Linked DNA regions of Alligator mississippiensis. The protein of the gene in region 1 binds, or shares a complex with, the protein of each later gene. Links are inferred from orthologs where the notes say so. Each region holds a gene or a part of one and is shown on either strand. Other genes may lie near its edges.

What was found.
Region 2: the proteins of CDKN1B (region 1) and CCND1 are in contact, whole or in part, in a crystal structure (PDB 6P8F), measured with the Homo sapiens proteins. The link is inferred for Alligator mississippiensis from reciprocal best matches to the Homo sapiens genes CDKN1B and CCND1. Residues at the interface, in NP_004055.1 of Homo sapiens: Lys25, Pro26, Ser27, Ala28, Cys29, Arg30, Asn31, Leu32, Phe33, Pro35, Val36, His38, Glu39, Glu40, Leu41, Thr42, Asp44, Leu45, His48, Cys49, Met52; in NP_444284.1 of Homo sapiens: Met56, Ile59, Val60, Trp63, Glu66, Val67, Glu70, Glu92, Lys95, Lys96, Ser97, Arg98, Leu99, Gln100, Leu101, Ile126, Tyr127, Thr128, Asp129, Ser131, Arg133, Glu136, Gln139, Met140, Leu142, Leu143, Asn146, Lys147.
Region 3: the proteins of CDKN1B (region 1) and CKS1B are in contact, whole or in part, in a crystal structure (PDB 2AST), measured with the Homo sapiens proteins. The link is inferred for Alligator mississippiensis from reciprocal best matches to the Homo sapiens genes CDKN1B and CKS1B. Residues at the interface, in NP_004055.1 of Homo sapiens: Glu185, Gln186, Thr187, Pro188, Lys190; in NP_001817.1 of Homo sapiens: Tyr8, Ser9, Asp10, Lys11, Arg20, Glu40, Arg44, Gln49, Gln50, Ser51, Gln52, Trp54.

Annotation. Positions count from the first base shown.
Region 1 is NC_081827.1:137,609,546-137,616,854, reverse strand, and holds the start of CDKN1B (cyclin-dependent kinase inhibitor 1B), read right to left. Parts: upstream 3,019-7,309; 5' UTR 2,668-3,018; coding exon 2,292-2,667; intron 1,506-2,291; coding exon 1,384-1,505; 3' UTR 1,375-1,383; intron 1-1,374. UniProt on the Homo sapiens protein: Important regulator of cell cycle progression. Inhibits the kinase activity of CDK2 bound to cyclin A, but has little inhibitory activity on CDK2 bound to SPDYA. Involved in G1 arrest. Potent inhibitor of cyclin E- and cyclin A-CDK2 complexes.
Region 2 is NC_081825.1:215,198,920-215,205,751, forward strand, and holds the start of CCND1 (G1/S-specific cyclin-D1), read left to right. Parts: upstream 1-3,814; 5' UTR 3,815-4,055; coding exon 4,056-4,253; intron 4,254-5,617; coding exon 5,618-5,833; intron 5,834-6,711; coding exon 6,712-6,832. UniProt on the Homo sapiens protein: Regulatory component of the cyclin D1-CDK4 (DC) complex that phosphorylates and inhibits members of the retinoblastoma (RB) protein family including RB1 and regulates the cell-cycle during G(1)/S transition.
Region 3 is NC_081838.1:12,770,997-12,777,747, reverse strand, and holds CKS1B (cyclin-dependent kinases regulatory subunit 1), read left to right. Parts: upstream 1-4,651; 5' UTR 4,652-4,858; coding exon 4,859-4,917; intron 4,918-5,281; coding exon 5,282-5,409; intron 5,410-5,585; coding exon 5,586-5,638; 3' UTR 5,639-6,233; downstream 6,234-6,751. Other genes in the region: FLAD1 (FAD synthase), read left to right, coding at 6,698-6,751.

The DNA.
Region 1 (7,309 bases):
GGCCGCCTCCCCCGGCCCACGGAAATGGGAGTGGTTCCCTCCGCGCCTGTAAACAGGGCTCGGACACCGAGTCACCAGGTCTGTGGCGCTCGGCTGCGGGAGGGGGAAGGGGAGCCGGAGCTGTTTTCGCGGCCGGTGCGCGGGGCGCCGGCGACTCCCGAAGCTCCCCGCCCCGAGGGAGCGCGCGGGAGCACACAGACGAGAAGAAAAGCAGGAGCCCTCTTCCCTCCACACTTAACCCCTTGGTGCGGCCGCTCGCCGCGGCTCCGCTTCCCCTTCCCTCACCCAAATAAACAGACAGTAGTAGTGCTATTTGCATACACATCATGCTGACGTGTTCCTGGCCCCGTTTACCCCAGCGGGGCTCATTTGTGCTCACTTCTGCTTTCCAGCTTCATCTGCTCGGCACCGAGCATGTCTGTAAACCTCCCTTTTTCTTAAAAAAAACAAACCAAAAAACCTCGATTCCCTTCAAACCGCCAGCCCTAGCCGTCCCAGCCCCTGGCTGCTTCAAAAAAACAAACTCATTAACCCCCTCGGTGCCCTGGACACTCACTACGGTGCCAGCGTATTCAAAATCATCAGCATCAAAATTAGAAGTATAAAAATAATAAATATCAAATAATACACACACAAATAACACTAGTGATGATGATGACCATAGTAAGAAGGGTGCCATCCTATTAAAATCATCATCATCATCACAACAATAATAAAAGCAGCATAAAAATAATAACCAAAAATAATACACAATAAATAATACACATAATGATAACAATGATGATGATGATAGTAAGTAGAAGACATGTTCTGCCCACCCTGAATTTCAATCCAAGTGCTCCCCTTACTTTTTCTCCACTCCTTACTGACTTAAGAGATCTCACCCTGGCTTGTTTGCTGAGCCAGAGACAATGCTAACATTGTCAACCAGCTAAAAAACAAGAAAAAAACCCAAGCAGCAAACAAAAAGGGGAAAAAATACTTGTCGTTTGACTTTTTTTTTTTTTTTTTGGAGCGAGCCTGTTTTGAAACTCATTTTGCCAGCATCTTATTGGGAGAGGAGGCCTCAGCACCTTCTAGCCAAGTGACCCAAGCCACCCCAGCCAGGTTCTTGTGGATAAACAGCCTACAGCCAGGACTTGCTTAGACACCTCCCCCCCTCAAAAAAAAATCTCTCAAGGTTGAGCACAAACAAAATGCAGTTAATATGGCCAGCCTCATCCAAACCCCCTTTGGAAATGCCTTCAAAGAGCAACACACACACACACACACACACACACACACACACACACACGGGCAGGAGTGACTCCACACTTCCCTGCCTGTTCAGATCCGCTATTTCTTTGGGACACCAACATCCTAGTGGGAACCCACCTACACAGTTCACGTTTGATGTTGTCTTGGGCTGGATTTCTTGGGCGTTTGCTCCACTGTGCTGGCACTGTGGGAGTCTTCTGAGACTTCTTCTTCTGCTGTGTTGGCTCTTTTATTCTGAGGAGAGGAGTCTGGGGGGGGCAAAAAAGGGGGGGGGAACCTGGTGTTAAAATACATTTCCTGCTAGATATGCACTCACAGGACCCAGGGTACAGAGAAAAGACCAACCCCCCCCCACCCCCCTTTGACAAGCCCCAGACTGGATGGATGGCAGGAGAAAAAACATTTAAAAAGCTTAGGGGCTGAGTCCTTTCTCTGATTCAAGCAAGATACAAGGTTTCCTGTTTGGGTCGAAAAAGACTTCTCTCCATTTTGGTGCCCAGGGATGCTGTGATCCTGGGGCTGTTGCATTAGGAATCCCTGGAAGTAGAGCCGAGGGAGGGAGGGGACAAGAGGGGGGCAGATGGAGGGGCATCCAGCGTGGGTGGGGGCGAGAGGGGGGCAGACAGAGGGGCATCCAGCTGGAGCACCCAGCCTGGGTGGGGGGAAAACGGAGGAGCATCCAGTTGGGGGACTCAGGTGGGACAAGCCTTTTGCCCTGCAGCAGGGCCAGATGTGACAAAAATAATAATAAGTCAAGCGGATGTAAAAAGAATAGTAAAGTGGGTGTTGAAGGAGAGCGAGGCAGGGCAGACAGAGGAGCATGGGGGGGGGGACCCAGGTGGAAGGGCCAATGCCCCCGCGCCTTTTGCCGTGCATTAGAGGCAGGGGCAGACGTGCCGCAAAGAATAACCACTCAAGCGGGTGCCGGGGCAGGGCAGCATCCAGGGGCGGGTGCCGCTGGCAGGGCAGACCAAAAGCCCGCGCGGCAGGGCAGGGGCAGGTGCGCAAGGCAAGAAGAGGAGGTTGTACGTTACCGTCGGGGGCCGGCCGCTTCCTCTGCCCGGCGGCCGGGTCGGCGCAGGCGGCGCGCGGCGCGCAGCGAGTGTCCCCCGCGCCCTTGCCCTTGGGCAGCCGCGTCGGCCGCGAGTAGAAGTCGGGCGAGGCGCCGGGCTCCAGCGCCCGCCACTCGAAGCGGCCGCGCAGGGGCCGGTGGAGCTGGAAGTCGAAGTTCCACTTCCTCTGGCAGGCCTCCTCCAGCTCCTGCCGGTGCTTCTGCAAGTCCCTGCTCAGCTCCTCGTGATCCACCGGCCCGAAGAGGCTCCTGCAGGCGGACGGCTTGGGGTGCTCCGCCTGCCTCCCCTCCATCCGCTCCAGGGTCGGGCTCCCATTAGAAATGCGCACGTCGGACATGTCCCCCCCGCCCCCCTCTTGCCGCTGGGGGTGGCCGCGCCGCGCTCCCCCCCACCCCCCTTTTTTTCTTCTTTTTCCTTTTCTTTTGAGTGGCCCGCAGCGCGCTCGCGGCCCCGGCCAGCAATCGCATAAGCAGCCCCGCGGGCGGGGAGGGGGCGCGGCGGGGCCCCCCGGAGCAAGGCGGGCAGCTCCGGGCGCGCGGCGAGCGGCGGCCGGTGTCACAGGCGCGGCGTAGTAGCGGGGGGAGGAGGGGGGTGCAAAAGAAAGGCGGAAAAAAACAAGAAAAAGACGAGCCCTCTTCTCGCTTGCCCAATATGGCGATTGAAGGGAGGCTGACGAAGAAGAAAATGATTGACATTCCCAGTCTATTTAAACAGCGCCGCGGAGCCATTGGCTCCAGCGCGGGGCGCCGCCCCATCTGCCCGCCCGGCCTCTCCCGGACAGCCCCTGTTAAGGTGGCCCGAGCTGCTGTGCTAGGGGCAGGGAGGGGGGTTGCTTTGCTTTACCCCTGCCCCGGGCTGAAGGGAAGCTCTGACCCCCTCCTCCTGCCCTGCTCCTCTTCTCTGGGGGGACCCGGGCGCGGGAGCCCGAGTTACGTGTTGACCCGGGGCGGGGGGAGGCAGGCGGAGGTCAGGAGTTCAAGGAAAGCGCCCCGAGGGGAGCTGGGGGTTGCATGTGGGCGCCTCCTTGTTGTGTGGTGGGTGTCAGTCCCCACGGGCTCTCTCGGTGGCCACGCAAGGCTCGCTACTGACTTGGTCAGGTCCGTCTTGCCCCCGTGTCACGCGGCGGGTGCTGAAAAGGGGTCTGAGGTTTTCTCCCCCCTGCTGCACATCTCGCTTGCAGCTTCCAAACTTTTCCCGAGCATGACCCCATTTACAGCCCGATTTCCTCAGCACGGCCTCTCACTCCCAACCCGCAGCAACCCCATCCTCGGATGTGGACACCCCACTGATGTTGCCACCCCATTTGGGGTCACAACCCACAGTTTGGGGACCGCTATCCCAGACCTTAAATGCTAAGATCAAGCCAGACACTTCCCCCCCACCCCCCGATCAGTTTAAAGTCTAGGACAGCTAGGTCTGGGACAGTGTTTAAGGTCTAGGACATCTAAACCCCAAGGCTTTTGGGCCTGGGGCTTGCATGTAGGATACCTTTCTGGATTTGGGGAGTGTCCAAAGCCCCAGACAGATGGGTTTGGGAGGGAGGAGCCACACAGATTTATGGATTGAGCTCCGCTCAGTCAAATGTTGGAACTTGACTATTGGGCTTTGCACAATTGAATTGGAACTGATTAGTCCTTCAACAAGATACAAACGAATTAAGGTCTAAGAAGTTCCGTACCCCTAACTCCCATGCTCAATAGCTCCCGATGCCCCTTTCCTCCAAGAATGTGTCCAATCCCTTTTTGAATCTAGTGGAGCTGCCAGCTTTCTCAGTGTCTGGCAGCAATGAGTTTCACACTTTAATTCCACACTGTGTGAACAAGAACTTACTTTTGTTAGCTTTAAAACTGACTACTTACTAGTTTCATTCGTTTCATAGTTTAACATGTGTTGGGGGGTGGCGGGGGAGGAAGAAGGAACCCCTCCATGCCAGTGCACCTTTTGCCAGCCAGCTAAGGAACAGCGTTTGGGGGCTAGACGGATCGTGGTCACATGTGTCTTCCTCCCCTCAGGGAGAAAGGACTTGGGGGAGGAAGTGGCTTTGAGACTCTCCCTAGGTGGGAACAACCTGGCAGGGGCAAAGCCAGTTTGATTTCTGCAATATTTCTGTGCTCCTGGAATCACAGCTCACGCGTGTCTTCCCCGCCCCCAGGTACAAAGAGGGTAAGAGTGACCCTGGACCACTCTCCATTCCTTCCCAGTTCTTGGTCCCATCCCAAGCCATTTCCTTTATCAGAATGATTGGATGTGGGTGGGGAATTTCTCCAGGGACATAGGAATCATCTCATCCCCCTGGGACAACGAGCACCCCCTGGAGATGCTGCTAGCTGTCGGTGAATGGCTTGAACTTTGGAATGGCTGGACCTTTGAATTGAAGCCTGTGGGGGCCACAGGCATTTTACCCTGCAGTCTAACGAGGGTCCCCTCAGTTTGGTAGGCAAGAGATCATAATTTCCCTATCAGTGGGATTGTATTTCTGCATGACTTCGCAGGGATCCATGTAGCACACAACTTGTTTAGACAAAATCCTTTAAAGAGTGAAAAGCCAATACAATGGGGGTGGGGAGAACTCAACTGGCCTGGTTTTGAAGTAGCTGAGTGTTTTTCCACCTACGCACACCAGTTTGGGTCTAAGCTGCTGAAGCTTCCCCTATGGGTATTCCTGAAGCAACTATATCTTCATCATAATAGTGTTTTACAAGCATGAAGTGACTTTCATAAGGCAACACATGGGGGGTTAGGGGGAGGGTGAAGGGGAAAAAAATCCAGAACATTTTCTTATTTCTCCATTCCCCTCCCACTCTTAACAATGACCAGTCCCAGGGCAGAGAAATTCACATGACTTGCCCAAGGCCCATAGTTTCAGTTCGTTTCAGAGCCAAACATCCCTAGTGTTATGGTCTGTGTTCAGTGTGTCATGCCCAGAATATCTCAGCACTGCCAACTCCAAGTGTTCAAACATTGTGTGTAAAGCCAAAAAAAAAGATAATCATGAGACTGGCTTAAAAAAATATGGGATTTTTTTATCAGCTTTTAGGTAGCAGTTGGTTTGTGTTTTCCAGCTTCTCTCTGCAACCACATGTTCTAGCAACTTACTTGAAAAACAAATGCAGACTGCCACTCATGTCTGCAGGAACTGACGCTTTTTTTTAAAGTATTGCACAACTTACAATACAATTGCAAGAGTGGGCAATACAGGCACCCATTCCACTGTTTTATATCAAATAAGGCTTTTCTTTTCTTCCCCCCCCGGCTGTTTCTGTCTTTGAGACTGTGTTTTAACTTGCACAGCCATCAGGACACAAGTACCATTTTACACTCCTTGCAACTGTCTCAGCTGGAGAAGCAAACTGTGTTTAGTGTGCTGAGCCACATCTGGTATATGCACTTTAAGCCTGTCCAGTTTAGAAAAGTAGTTCTGCAAAGCCAGGTGTGCCCTGCTCAGGACTGCCTGATGCTTCAGTGACAGATGGGGCTGGCGTGCGGGGAACAGACAGGTTGGTTATGAAAGGGTGGTTATCTGGTGAGTGTCCTTATAGTGTCAGGATCTGCCTGTAGTAGAAAACAGCACTGGCTCAACTTCATCACTTGAAAAATCAGAAATACAAGCAATCAGTGGCCGTGTCTGCACGTGCATTAATGCACCATAGTTACTGTGCATTAAGTTTGATACTTATATAACCAAGTACTAAATCAATGAGCAGGAACTGGCACTACTGTGCAATAGCACTGATGCACAGCTTTTTAGTGATGCTAACTGAGCAGTAGCCTAACACTACTGCACAGTAGCATATTAGCATGATGTTTCCTGACATGTTACTGAGCAGTAGTATTAGACTACTGCACATTTAGTGTCTGGTGTAGATGTGCCCAGTATACATCCAGAGACCACTGGTTTTGTTCTGTTTTTATGCACAGGCCCACAAACTGGTTTCTGACTTGGATTCCTCTAGGCTAACACAATACAAACAATTAGGAATAGCAACAACCACTCATCCAAGGGTGGTCAAACCAGCTGAAGTGCATCTAAATTAGGGGACTGCAGCCTTTAACCAAGATAATTTTTTCTTCAGTTCAGCCAGTTTGTTTTTCTAGTAAAATAAGGCCCAGCCCCACCAGACAAGAGACCAAAAGAGAGGCCAAGGCAGGCAGGTGTGGGGCTGAGCCTTGGAACCATTGTACAAGCCTGCTACACCTGGGACATGATTCTTTCTCTGACTTGGACTTGGTGCTCCTGTTAGTAAAGGCTCAAATCAAGTGTAGTCCTGGACCTGGTCCAAGGAGTGCTGGGAGCTGGGAGTCTCCCTGCAATCAGCCCCGCACACCGACCATGTCACCATGACGCCCAGCACAAGGACCTTCCTGAAGCGGTTCCTGAAGGAAGCCGTCCGAAACAAGTACACCAGCGACCAGAGGGCCAAACCCGACCAGGGCAAGGTCTTTGACGTCACCTCAAAGTGGGACTCTAGCAATCACTTCATGCCCAGCGGGAGCTTCACGCGCTTTGCAGACTGGTGCTTCCTCCACCGCGCCTGCCTCAACTGCCTGCCTCTGAACGGGGCTGTCTGCTTCAGTCACCGGGACAAGAGGTGCTGACGGTGTGGCTACTCGGTAGAGACCCTCCCCCACGTGCTGTGCAGCTGCAGGTCGCATGCCAGAGCCTGGCAGCTCCGCCACAATGCTGTCCAGGACTGCCTGGTGAGGGCCATCCTGGCCACAGCAGGGGAGATCTCTGTGAACCGCACTGTCCCGGGCTGCGAGAGCCAGATGCAACCTGACATCGTGATAACCAACAAAGAGACCAAGAAGGTCATGATCATGGACGTAACCCTCCCCTTCAAGAACTAGCACCAAGCCTTCACCGACATCTGGGCTCACAAGTGGGAGAAGTACGTCCCGCTGGCCGACATCCTGAGGGGCTGCGCCTACGACATGACGGTTGACATGCTCATCATGGGAACACTTGGAGCCTGGGACCC
Region 2 (6,832 bases), on another chromosome or scaffold:
CCAATGGGGTTTTGCTAAAGGGTCCCAGAGCCGGGGCACGCTGCAGGGGCGACCCGACGAGTCCAGGATACAAAGATCTCGGGCACTATCGGGTTTATTGGTTACTGATCTGATCGTGACAGTCCCCAGCGCCCCTTCCCCACAACTCGCCTCCTGTTAATCATTACTGACGGGGAAAGTGTGGGGAGGCGGGGAGGGAGGGCAACGACTCCGAGGCTGTGAGTCAGCCCGGGGAAGGGACTGGCTGGCAGAAGGGCTTGGTTGCGGAGGGAGCTCATCGCTTGATGTCTCCGCGGCTGCTTCCGTCGGGGCGGGCAGCCGGAGCGCGTGTGTCCGGGGCTCTGCTGTCCCTCCCTGCGATAAGGCGGGCGGGCCGCGCGGTGATCTCCCCCCGTGTGCCGGGAAACACTGCCCCCGCCGTCCCCGATCTTCCTGCTAGGCCTCTTGCGCCTCGTGGGGGATTTGCCCCAAGAGCAATCATTCAACCCCTTGCAGGTTTCACCAGCCTGGGAGTTTTATTAAGATCCCCCACCCCAGCCCAGCTCTGTGCAGCGTGCTCTGAGCATGAGTGGGGACTGCCAGCAAGAACACCAGCAACACGTGCTTTGACTGTAGCCTGCGAGACAATGAATGGGGAAGGAAAGGGGGGGGAGGAGGGGGGGAGGAGGCGATGCATGGTTTAGGCAAACTGCAGCAATCGCCCTTGTGAAAGCGGAGCCTCTACGCGGAGGAAGAAGCTTTTTTTTTTTTTCAATGAGATGGAATCGGTTTAACAATGAAAAACATTGACTAGAGGAGGGGAGGGGAAAAGGAGGGAGAGGGAGGGGGGGGGGGGGAAGCCAGCAAGCCTTTAAAGTCGCCGATCAGGTATCTGGCTCAAGGTGAGATTCCACCTCCACATGTGGGAAGTGGTTTGTTTAATTTATGGCATTCTTACAAACAAAAGAAGGCCGGGTCCCTGCGCCTGGGACCGGGGCGAAAGTGCTCGCTGCGGAGCCGGCACAGCACCAGCCCGGAACATGTGGGGACCTGACTCCCATCTGGATGCTTTAGGAGGGGCATAAAAAAACAAACCCCAATACCTCCTACCTGAGCCCTCCTCCCGAGTCTTTCCTGCATGTGAACGATCAAGGGGGAGGCGAGGCTGCAGCCCCTTCCTTCGCTTTCCCTTCTCTGGGGGGCTTCAGAGCCTTGTTAAATGCCTCTGTATAACGTCCCCCCCCCCCCCAATAGAGCAGAGGTGCTGTATTAAACCTCTCACGTTCCCAGCTCGCGATTCTTGAGATGGACTTATTTTATTTTATTGTATTTTACTTTATTTTATTTGATTACGGATGTAACATAAAACAAACATTTCAAGTTCCCCTGGTTATTCTTGCAGATCCTTCCCGTGCCGGTGCAAGGCTCCCCGGTTATCAGTGGCAGCCAGAAAAGGCGACCCTTTTGTGCACGGACTCAGCCTCCAACCGGTGCGCCCTCTGCTTTCACGCTTTTCCCAGGCGCTTGCACTTTTGACCAGTCCCCTTTGTCTTGTCAGGGAGAAATCAACCAAGTTCCCGGTTCAGATCTGCCTGATCCGCCTGGTAACAGATCTATTCCCCTATTGGCTTATGCTAATTCCAGCTTCCTCTTGCATTGCGGCCCATTTTAAGAGGGGGGGGGGGTTCCCTCCAGGAATTAGACCAATTTTGTTTTAAGTGGGCGATCTAGTTCATGCAATATTGCCACACGCAGCAGAAGCCGGGCTGTGTGTGCAGCCGTCTCAGCTGGAGGGTGTTGTGGTGGAGGAGGTGGAAGGGGGGCTCCGGAAAAGCTGTACCACTCCGCCTCATAAATCAAGGGCTCTTGCCACACCGGCGGGGATTTTTATGAATGAAAAAACAACAGTGCTCGCCTGGTTTCAGAAAGCAAATGCATGGCGAGGGCAAGGGTTTCATAGAGCAAATAATGCTTTGGGGGAAGGGAAAGAGAGGGAAGGGTGGCTGGTCATCGGCTCCCATTATTATTATTTATTATGACCCACGAGCACATATTTGGGGACCAATGCTGCCCTCCTGGCAGAGCAGAACATGCCCCAGAACCAGAGGTGCGAGGCCCTTAGGGCATTGCACCAGTGCTTGAAACCTGCACATCTGGAAATGTCTTAGAGCTGGGGGAGGGAGGTAGAAACATGTAGAAACCCCTGACTTTGTCTATCTAGGTAGCCCGATTTGAAGAGAATGGAGGGCCTGCTTGTTGCAAGGAAGTGCAAACCTCTGAGACTTCCAGAATAAAAGTAATGTGTTTTATTTTTCTTGAATGCATGGAGTAAAGAACACTAATGCTTCCCCCTTTCATAACTCTTCTGGGCAAGTCTGGTTATGAGGCGCACACGTGGGGAAGACACAGGTAGCCTAGATCCTCCTTGGATCCTCTGAATGTCATCATCATGTAGATAAGATACAAGTAAAGGCAAGCGTCATGCGGAGAGCTCACAAAGAGACACTGTGTACATGTGGGAAGCTGCAGCTTTATGCCCTATGATCTGTACTAGTGCTCACTATACATCTTGAAGGGGAGACCCGGACCTAACACTCCAGCAAGCCACCTACAGCCACCATGCTCATCTATTTCAGCATACTGATGATGCTCTGAGGAGTGCTACGGCAGTTTGGGGTCTGAGGACCTATTATTTATTGTTACGTGCCCACATTAGGAGGTGGGAAACCTTTCCAGCAAAGGAAAGGTACATCTACAGATATATCTACAGTCTCCCCCCAAACAAGTGAAATTCTAGTTCCACTGAAGTCACTGTGAGTTTTGCCATGAGCTTTGCTGTTAAGAGCCCAAAAAACATGGAGTCCAAATGCTTGATCCCTTTTTTCCCCCAAAAAACATATCTAGGTTCAAAGGAAAGAAGATAAACAAGTGTTTCATTCCCCTGCCCCAAAATATATTAAAGATATAGACAGCCTCAATCTGCTGAGGAACTGACAACTTATTGCTGGAGCCACATCAACAAAAATTTAAGCTGTGGAAGGACGGACTCCCCCTCTCCGTGAGCTTGGGATCGGCCCCTGGGTAACTCCCTGGATCCTGGCACCTTCCCTTGGATTCCTCTTCTTTTAGGTGTTAACTGTGTGGGAGGAAATGCTGGCCACCATTTTGCTGCACTGCTGAGATTTTTTTTTCTGGGTGGTGGCGTGTAGCGGGGGCAGGGTGTGGAGCTTTGCTCTGCTGTTTGGTTAGGGTTAAATGGATTTCACCCTGTGTCCCCCAATCCTTTTGGCAGGGTAAAATCTAAAAGCCCCCCACCCCAAGGAAGGAGATCCTACATTCCTTTAACTTTCAAAGATATAATCTAAATCTAAACCAGGAAGGCAAAATGGAGAACAAGTCTGCCTTTGGATTATTAATGCTCCGCCTGTGCATATTCCAGGTTGGGAGTGCTTTTAAATAGGAGTTTCTTTGAAATATGACAAACGATGAAGAATAGCAACAACAACAACACTATGGTGCTGCCTCCCCTCTACCCCCCAATAAAACAATCTGAAGAGGGTCCCCCTGTGTCCATATCCGCGTGTGTCTGTGTGTGGCCTAGTCCCATTCATCATTTAGCTCCCACTGCCCAACTCTCTCCATTTTGAAAATTATGCATGATACACTGAAGAGACAATTTGGGTTTCCCCCACCTCTCCCCTGCCCTTGAAGAAAGCAAGCCCTTGTCTCATTTGCATTTGCATTAAACCCTGCTTCTGTATAAGCTAAGCAAAGGGGAAGGACTCCAAGCCTATGGGATGGCTTTAGGGCTCTGCCCCTTGCTTTTGGCTTCTCTCTCTCTCTCTCATTCTCTCCGCTGCTTTGATCTCTGCTTAACAACAGTCACGTCACAGGGACTAAACTATACAGGAGAGTTTTGTTGGAAGTTGGAAAGTTTTTCAGCCTCCAGAGGGCTGTAGCGGCAGTAGCAGCAAGCAGCATCCAAGGGACTCCTGGAAGGGGAAGAGAGAGAGAGAGAGAGGGACGAGCCTTGAGTCAGTCCTTTAGAAACCTGACTGTGGAAGAAGGAGGCAGACATGGAACATCAGCTGCTGTGCTGCGAGGTGGAAACCATCCGAAGAGCCTACCTAGACGCCAACCTACTGAATGACAGGGTCCTGCTGGCCATGCTGAAGGCGGAGGAGACCTGCACGCCCTCGGGCTTCTACTTCAAGTGCGTGCAAAAGGAGATCTTGCCCTACATGCGGAAAATAGTGGCCACTTGGATGCTGGAGGTGCGTATGTCCGGGGCATCGCTCCTGCCGGAGCCCGGAGGGGATGGACCCCGGGAGACCCCCGAAACCCTACAGCAGCGCCGGACATCCCGCGGCGGGGAGGGAGGGAGAGAGGGAAGGAGAGAGGGAGGCAGCAGCGTGCCCGGCTCCGGATCCAGCCGCACCATCAAGGCAGCGCGGCTCCCCCCCAAGCCTGCTGCATTGAAGGGGTCTTCATGCCCCCCCAGCTTGCAAATCCACCTCCTCCCCGCCTTCCCCCAAATAAAATCAGAATTAAAAAAAAAAAAAGTTTCCATCTCTGGCGTCCTGCCCCCCTCGCCCCCTCTTTAAGGGGGGGGGATTTTTTTTTTTTTAATTTTAAATGAATATCCCCGTACACGTATGCAGGCGCCGGCCGTGCCAGTATTCCGCGCCATCTTTGTTCTTTCCCTCGCTTTTTTTTTTTTTTTTTTTTTGGGGGGGGGGGGGTAATCAATGATACTGCAAAGCGGCCGGGGTCGGGGGCCGGGGTCGGGGGCCGGGCCCTGGCCCTTTGTTGGCGGCGGCGCGGGGCTGCAGGCGCGGTGCCCCCGCGAGGCGCGCTGCGGCCGGGGCGTCCGGCGCGGGGCAGGCGGCCCGCAGCCCCCTGGGGACGGGCGTGCGGGCGGGCGCCGCCGTGGGGCCCGGGCAGCGCGACCCCCGGAGCCCGGGCCACATTGTGGTGGCCGCCCCTCCGCGCTGGGCGCCCGCCGACTATTTTTAATTAATTTCTGAAGGCGGCCCGCGCGGTCCCTGCCGCCGCACGCGGCTGGCTGGCCGGGTGGAGGAGGGGAGCGGGGGGGACCCGGGGTTTTGCTTTCGGGGGACCGCCGTGCCGGCCTCCCCGCCCGGCTTGCCGAGCCGGCTGGGTCAAGCCGCCCCCGAGGGGCATTTTCAGGCCCTTGAGGAGGCTCGGGAGATTTTTTAAATATTTTTAAATATTTTTTGAAAAGATGACGTCTGGGGAAATGCGGCCGGCGGACGCCACCTTTGTGTCTGGAGTGCGGCTTCGCCCCCGGCGGCTGGCAGCGCTGCTGAGGGGATCCCACCCGGCTGGGATCCACCGGGTCCTGTGGATCCCCCACTCCATCGATCCAGGGGAATGACCCCCCCCTTTTTTTTTCTTTTAACCCCACATTTTTACGTAGCCTTCCCCCCATTCACTCAGTTTTGTTCCTCTCATCCTCCCCCTTCCCACATGGGTTTTATTCAGGGCATTTTCACATATCCCCTCCTCTCCCCAATATTCAGCCCTGCAGCCCGAGCGCAAAGGGGGAGGGAAGGGAGTGGGGCTTGACTCCCTATTGATGCCAGGCCTCCTTTCAACGACCTCTCTGGTTTGGCAGGTTTGTGAGGAGCAGAAATGCGAAGAGGAGGTGTTCCCCTTGGCTATGAATTACTTGGACAGGTTTTTGTCCTTCGAGCCCCTCAAGAAGAGCCGGTTGCAGCTGCTGGGAGCGACCTGCATGTTCGTGGCTTCGAAAATGAAGGAAACCATCCCGCTGACGGCAGAGAAGCTGTGCATTTACACCGACAACTCCATCAGGCCCGACGAATTACTGGTAATTTGGGGCTCACCTCCTCGGGAGACCCAAATCCAATCCCGCCCAATGCAGACAGACCACTGGAAGCAAGATCGGGAAAGGGGGGGAGGGACAAAAAAGGCTCCAGAGAAGAAATTGCGGCTGACTTCCTCACATCTGCCCATAGGACCTCTTGACTTTCTCACATCTGCCCATAGGGCCTCTGCATAATTGTGCACCATTCATTCAGGAGAATTAGCCTTCACTTCCCAGTAACTTCATTGTTGCACATGGCAGCAGCAAATGTAGCTTGCAGGGCTACCTCAAAAAAAAAAAAAAAAAAGTAGACCCCCCCAGAGGGAGAGTGGACCTCCTCCCCTCCCCTCTCCAGTAACGTGAGCCATGTGGGGGTCCTCTGCACCCCCTTCCTGTCGCTGGTTAGGACTGAGCCAGCTTAGTTTAATTTGAGCAAATCCCTAATATGTGAAATCCTTGCCTATTACCTCACTGAAAGTACAGTAGTGTAGGCAAAAAAATATGGGTGGCTGGCGCCCTCTTGCGTTTGGACCATATAGTTCACATGCTTCATTTCAGAGCAGCTGGGTGCTGGGGACGTGTGGGGGTGGAGGTGGAACGGACCTAAGCAGTTTCATACCTAAAGGTAGCCACATCTAGGCACCATCCTGCTTGTGAACGCTGCTGACAGCATGGGAGCAGCACTGGTTAGCACAAAGTATTTTCTCTATCAGTCTCCCAAGTAGCCAGTGCATCAAAGAGATGCCAGTGCATTAGGATTCCATAATCAGATAAGCACAATTCAAAGCTAGATACCATTTTAAGCTATTTATACATAGAGTTTCTAACCACATTTTCCTTCTTCTTCACTTCCCTTTCCCCCTTCCTCTTTGTTTTTGTAGCAAATGGAGCTGCTTCTGGTGAATAAGCTGAAATGGAATCTGGCTGCAGTGACCCCTCACGATTTCATTGAACATTTCCTTACTAAAATGCCTCTGACTGAGGACACCAAGCAGATCATCC
Region 3 (6,751 bases), on another chromosome or scaffold:
TGCTAGGCGGCCACAGCACAAGTCATGTCCTGGGGAGGTGCCGGAGCAGCAATGCTCAGCCCCAAGTGACACAGTACAGGATGAGGAGCACAGTGGCCAAGTCATGCCCCAGAGCTGTTCACAGCACTGCAGAGACCTTGTGCGCCCCCTGAACCAGGGTGCTGGGGCACCGCCAACCACACAACAGCCCCAAAGAAGCAGGCAGAGGCTCGGATCCGGCGGAGAGGAGAGGAGAGGAGGGACCGGCGGGGACGTGGAAAGGAGCCCGGCTGGTTGCAGACCCACTCGCCTCACCAGAGAGAAAGGAGAGGAGTGAGAGAAGGCAGGCAACCCGTCACCAAAGCCAGGCACCCTCCACCGCAGCCCAGCCTGGCCGTCCTTACCACGTACTCCATCTCAGCTGCTGGGCTGGGCCCCACACAGGCTACAGGTACCAACAGCCCCTGTCCTCCTGGCGTCCCACCTGCATTCGGTGACAAACAGGGAATTAGCCAGCGCCGCCCTGTCCAAGGGGCCTGGCAGGCCTGGCACATCCCCTCTGCCCTTCTGCTCGCCTGGAGAAGGCCCTGCCTGACCTGCTTCCGCAGGCATTGCTCCTGCTGCCTGGCCAGGCCTGCCCTGCCTGGCCTCGGGTGACATGGCTGTCCTCTGCGACACAGGGGGAGCAGGGACCTCATTCAGATCCTGTGTGGGCAGGAGGCTGTGATGCATGAGGCCCGGGGCAGGTTGCACATGGGATAAGTCTCGGGATCTCCAGTGTGCCTTGAACGCCGTCCTGTGAGCCTGGCCCCATTGCTGGGAGTCACCAGGGTAGCAGCAGCCCTGCCTCCCCTGTCTGGTGCTCCAGCCCCGATGGCCTGGGGACTCCTTCCTGGTTCCTCAGGGCACGTGCCCAGCTCAGAAGCCAAGCTCAAGAGATGAGCTTTCAGTCCCCGGTGACCTCCTGGACTGTGGGGACCAGGACCTCCCAGGGCCCACCATCGCCCATCCTCCGGTGCCTCCCCAGGGAAGGCAGGAGCAGTGGTGGCTGAACCCCAAGACCCTGCTCCGTGAGTGGGATTCAGGGCAGCACCTGGAGTTGTGAGCTTGGGAGCCCCCACAGCCCCATGGACACTTGCCACCCCTCTGTTGCCAAAGCAGCATTCGAGGTCCTAACTCTGCTCAGGGCCAGGGCAGCTCCAGCAGCAAGGAGCTTGCCAGCTGGAGCCGGGGGCTGGCTGGACCCAGGGGAGGGAGGCCACGCAGGGGACAGCCACAGCTGTGTGGAACAAGGGCGGAGACAGCTCCTGCCCAAAGAACAAAGCAAGAGGAAGGGGCCCAGCTCCTTGCAGCCCCCCCGCCCTGCTCCCATCCCCTCTCCGGAGCCATCAGGCTTGGCACGGAGAACAACGCCAGCCCAGAGCGGGAAACAAACATGATTTACTTCCTCGTAGGACTGTGCCCTTATCTGGGGCCTGCAAAGCTGGAGTGACGTGATTCACCCAGAGGCAAGAGATAAAGAGCCTGTCTGGCCCTGGCCCCACAGACCTGCACAGGCAGGGCCTGGCCAGGCCCCATGGCAGCAAAGGAGCTGTGATAACATGACCTTTCCCTGCCCAGGCAGTAATCATGACAGGCTGGGCAAGCAGAACAACACCCTATCTCCTGGGCTGCCACCGAGACCAGTGCCCACACCCCACCGTGAAGACACCCCAAAACACAGACAGGCTCGTGCCCATGCCAGCTCCAGCTGGGCACCAGGGCCCTGAGCTAAGCGTGATGCCCGGTGGAGGTGGGAGCTGCTGTGCTCCTCACAGTGGTTGCATCACAAACCACCTGTGTGGCATGGGCACTGCAGCAGCCCTGACATGATCCCCTGCATGGCAGCCCCAGGTGCATACCATTCAGAGCACCTGGGAATCCCAGCCCCCCAAGGCCACCTGAGGAGCATAACAAATCCAAGGAGAAAGGCAGCGCTCGCTGTGCTCAGCCCAGCAGCCCAGCCCATTAGTGAGCTGTGGCAGCGTGGGGCCTGCGCGGGCAGAAGGGCTTGAGGGGTAGCCCGCAGGACCCTAGCACGTGCTGCGATCCACCTCCCCTGCCTCCCCACGGGCCCCTTGGTGCCTGGGCGTGGTTCCCGCTTGCTCTGCCAACTGCAGACCCTGCTGGGCATGGATGGCACCACCAGACTGCAGCAATGGCTGCCAGGTCAGGCAGAGTCGGCCAAGCAGTGTGGCTGGGGCTCACGCATCTGTTCCCCACAAGCCTGCGACGAGACCTGATGACCCCGGTCGCAAGCAGAGGACAGATTTGGGCTGGGCAGCCAGCAGGCAGCCCCCGCCCTGCAGCCATGCATCACAGATGCCTGCAGCTTCTCCATGGCAGCCTTGGGCCACAGCAGCCATGGTTATGCTATGCACTACCTCCTTGGCTGCATGCAGCTCCCCAGGCTAACAGCAGCCTCCTGAGCCCCTTCAAGCTGCCCAGAGCAATCCCAGAACCCCCACGCAGCTCGCTGCAGGGGCTGAGGCACCCCGAGCTTGGTGCTGCACTATCAGAGCCTTTCCTCCCTGCACATCCTGCCACCGCACCCCAGGGAGACTCTTAAAATACATGCGAGAGGAGGCTCCACAAAGCAAGCAGCTGGGTGCTAAATGCCCCTAGCAACGGTGCCCGCACCGTGGTGACTCATGACATGCGTGCCTGCCACAAGCGCTGGTGCCGAAGCTGCTGGTTATGCAGCACTGGGCTGAAGACAACCACAAGAGGCAGGAAGCTCCCAGGCAGGGCCACGGGCAGGGGCTGCGTGGGAAAGGGGCCCCACACCCACAGCCGGGCCTGAACATGGACTGGCTGCTACATCCCGCAGGAGGGGTAGCACATGCCCAAGGCGCACCACAGCTCCCCGACGCATAGGAGGTGGGAGCCGTGCATCTCCGGGTCACGCTCAGTGCCTCCCTGCCAGCCCAGCAGAACCGAGCACCTCCCATGCAGGTCTGGCAGCTCCCTGCCCGTGGAGGTGACGACCAGCATGTCTACTACAGGCACGAGAAGAGACCTTTATTATTTCCTGCTCCAGGTTCCTGTACCTTAAGCCCCAGAGGCAACAACAGCCAACTCAGCTGCTGACTGATGCAGGCAAGAGATGCCCCATGTTGCTGCAGCCTTTAGTCACAGCCCCCCACAGGCTTGCTCACGCCGCAGCCTGACAGAGATCTCTGGTACCCTGGCCCCCAGCATCGCACTGACAGAACCACGAGCAACTCAGGGACAAATGTGTCCTTCCTGGGCCACGGGCTGGAGACACCTGGGTCCCACACAACTCAGGGAGCAGCTACGGCCTAGGTGTGATTTGGTAGGACCGCTCACCCCCATGGAGGTGCAAGAACCTGCAGCACTGGGGCGAGAGCAAGCCCCCCCCAGCACTGCCCAGACCCCCTCCAGCTGGGGGGGGGGGCTGCTCCCCCAACCTGCCCCAGTGCTAAGGGGACAGCGGGAGGGAGCGGATGCGGCGCCTGCCAGAGCAGGCAGGAGAGCGCCTGGGGCTGGGGGAGGAGGCTGCTGGGAAACAACAGGAAATGGAGTCGCACCAGGAATGCTCCCAGCCGGGGGAGGGGGGGGGGGAGGTGAAGGCGCAGCCCAGGCCACCCCGGTCCTGCTTCCTGTCCCGCTGGAAAGGAGCTGGGGAAACTGCCAGAGGAAGCCGTGATCGGGACGAAGCCCGGCCAGGGAGGGAGGGAAGGACACCCCCACTGTCCCCGGCCTCCTCGCATCACCGATTACTCGGATGGGACTGTTTGACCACCCTTGTCCCTCCTGCACACACTCCCACTTGGGACCCCCGGGGCCAGAGCTGTCCTCGCGCCCGCTCACGGCCCCACACCTGGCTCAGCGGCACCAGCAGCTGGGAGGCGCTGGCCCTGCCTCCCCTTCCCGCCTGCCCCATGGCACCCGCCTGCGCCACCCGGGACGTCTCAGCACTGGACATGGATGGGCAGCCCTGAGCACTGTGCACCAGCTCCTGGTGTCTCCGTCTGTCCAGGGATGCCGGGAGCAGGCCTGGGGGGCGGTCGTGGGGGGGCAGGAAATTGGGGCATCCGGGCGAGTCCAAGGGCAAGCAAGCGCACGCAGGGGGAGAGGGGGCGGCCGAGGGAGACAGAGGGGCCCGGATGGGGCTGGCGGAGGAGCAGGTCTGAGCAGAAACGGGCCCGCGGGGAGGGGGCCAAGAGCCCACACGTGATGTGGGGGCAGGATGGGGGCATGGACAGGATACGGCCGGTAAGGGGGTCAGGGGACAGGGTCGGGGCCGGCCCGGGGTCGCGGAGAGGGAAGGGAGACCCCGGGGGAACCCGGCAGGATCCGGCCCGGGGGGGTGGTCATGGTAGGATTGAGCCCCAGGAGGTCTCAGCAGGAACGGGCCTGGGGGGATCTCGGGGGGCCCGGCAGGACGCGGGGCCCGGGCGGCGGCACTCACCGGGGCACCATGGGGCCTCGCGCCCGCTGCGCTCCCACGGCTCCGGCACCCACTTGCCCGGGCCCCGCCACCCACTTCCGGCCCCACTCCCGCAGCGCGGCCTCAACGACCCCGTCACGTGACGAGGGAGCCCCCACGGGCCACGGCCACCTGGACCAATGAGCGCCCTTGCAGGGGTGCCCGCCCCCCGTGCGCGGCGCTGGCCACTGAGCGAACCGAGGAAGTGAAGCCGGACCAATCACCTCCCGAGGAGCCCCGGGGGAGCGGGGCTTGCTCTGCTCGCGCCGCCCGGGCCAATGGGCGCGCGGGGCGGCGGCGTTTGAAAGCGGCGGTTGGGGGCGGGGCCCGCCTGCAACTGCCGGGCGCGCGAGGGCTGTCGGGAAGGGGGTGGACCCGCAGGCCAGCATGGCGCACAAGCAGATCTACTACTCGGATAAGTACGACGACGAGGAGTTCGAGTACCGGTGAGAGTGGGCGGCCGTCCCCTTCCCCCGCCGGGGTCTGCGCCCGTTGCCGGCGCGCGGGGATGACGCCATCACCCCCTTTCCTGGGCTCGCCGACCCCGTGACACCACCACCCCCTCTCCTGGGCTCTATCCCCCACCCCTATTCGGTGCCGGCGCGTGGTGATGGCGCCATCATTCCCTTTCCTGGTGTCTTTGATCCCTGCTCGGTGCCGGCGCATAGTGATGACGCCAACTGCTCCCCCCCTCCCGTGGTCTGCGACCCCTGCAAAGTTCTGGTGCGCGGTGATGACGCCTTCGGCCCCTCTCTTGGGGTCCGGGCCAGGTGCGGGCACGCCGTGATGACGCTGTGGCTCCCGTTGCAGGCACGTGATGCTGCCCAAGGACATCGCGAAGCTGGTGCCCCGGACGCACCTGATGTCGGAGTCAGAGTGGCGCAACCTGGGTGTGCAGCAGAGCCAGGGCTGGGTGCACTACATGATCCACGAGCCTGGTGAGCCACTGGGGTGGGCTGGGCCAGGTGCTCCATGTCCATTCGCCTGGCTCTGCCCATGGCTGGGCTCAGGCGTCTCCTCCCTGGGCAGGTGGGCAGATGCTGGGCAGCAAGAGGCTGCCCCGTGTGGTCTGCGAGTCATTTCCGCGCGGTCCTGATGCTGCTTCTCCCCGCAGAGCCGCATATCCTGCTGTTCCGCCGCCCGCTGCCGAAGAAGCCGGAGAAGTGATGCCTCTGCCCCAGTGCGCTGCCTCTCCCTTTGCCACGGCTCTTGCTGGAAAGCACCTTCCCTGCTCCTCTTCCCTGTCCTCAGTGTTTGGAGACATTGCTCAGAAACGCTGTCTGAGGCTGGTGTCCGCAGCCGAGGAAGTGCCAGCCTGACTGGCCTGACTAGCAGGGCTGGTGGAGGAGGACTTGGCTCCATGACACCTACGATTCCTGCCTGCCGAGGGGTGCAACTGTAGAGGACACCTGGTGACGGTGGGGGGGCACAGCTCTGCGCTGCTACCCCGGGCTCTGACTCAGGCTGGGGGTGCACCATGCCTGCTGTCAGCACAGACATGGCACTGCCACCCCTACCCCTGCCACCCTGGACCCTATCTTCAGCCAGGAGTGCAACCACTTGCCTATCATCAGTGCAGAGAGCTGGGGGGGGGGGAAATACGGCCTCTTGCCCCCTGCGGGCGTAGTGCTACCTCCAGCCAGGCTGGGAGCTGAACAGGACAAGCAGCCCAGTGCAGTGTCCCTGCCTGCCCCGTGGTGCCAGCGCAGGATCTGTGGTCACCCCGGCCGGAGCCCATCTCCAATAAAGCAGGTTGGATGTGGCAGTCTCGTCTGTGGGTTCCGTGGGCACGCCCCCCACCCGTGTCCAGCGTGGAGTAGGAGGCGCCGGGACCCTGCGGAAACCCTGTACCGGGGCGCTCTCCACGCCGGGCCGATCTATTCCTCCGGGGCGGGGGGGTGATTTCCCAGTTCGCTGGTTCAGCCTTCCGGGAGCGCAGTTCTCCGAGCGCGCCTTTGGCCAATCGAGGCCCTCCCCGTCCTCGAGTGGCATCTTCGTTGGCCAATAGCAGGGGAGGGGGCGGGGCGGCCTACGCCGGGGGCGGGGACGGGGGAGGTCCGGGGCGCAAGGCCGGACCGGACTGCTGGGATCTTTCTCGGCTCGGGGGAGGGCGGCTCTTGGGGCCCGGACGCTTGGTGCTCTCCTCGCTGCCCCCTCGAGGTGACCCCGCTAACTGGCTCCCGCCCGCGCCCGGCTAGGTGCCGGCGGCTGCTCGGGGCCGCGTCCATGCGCTGGGGCCTGCGCGTGGGCCGGGGCCTCCTGCACGCCGCGCGGGGCGGG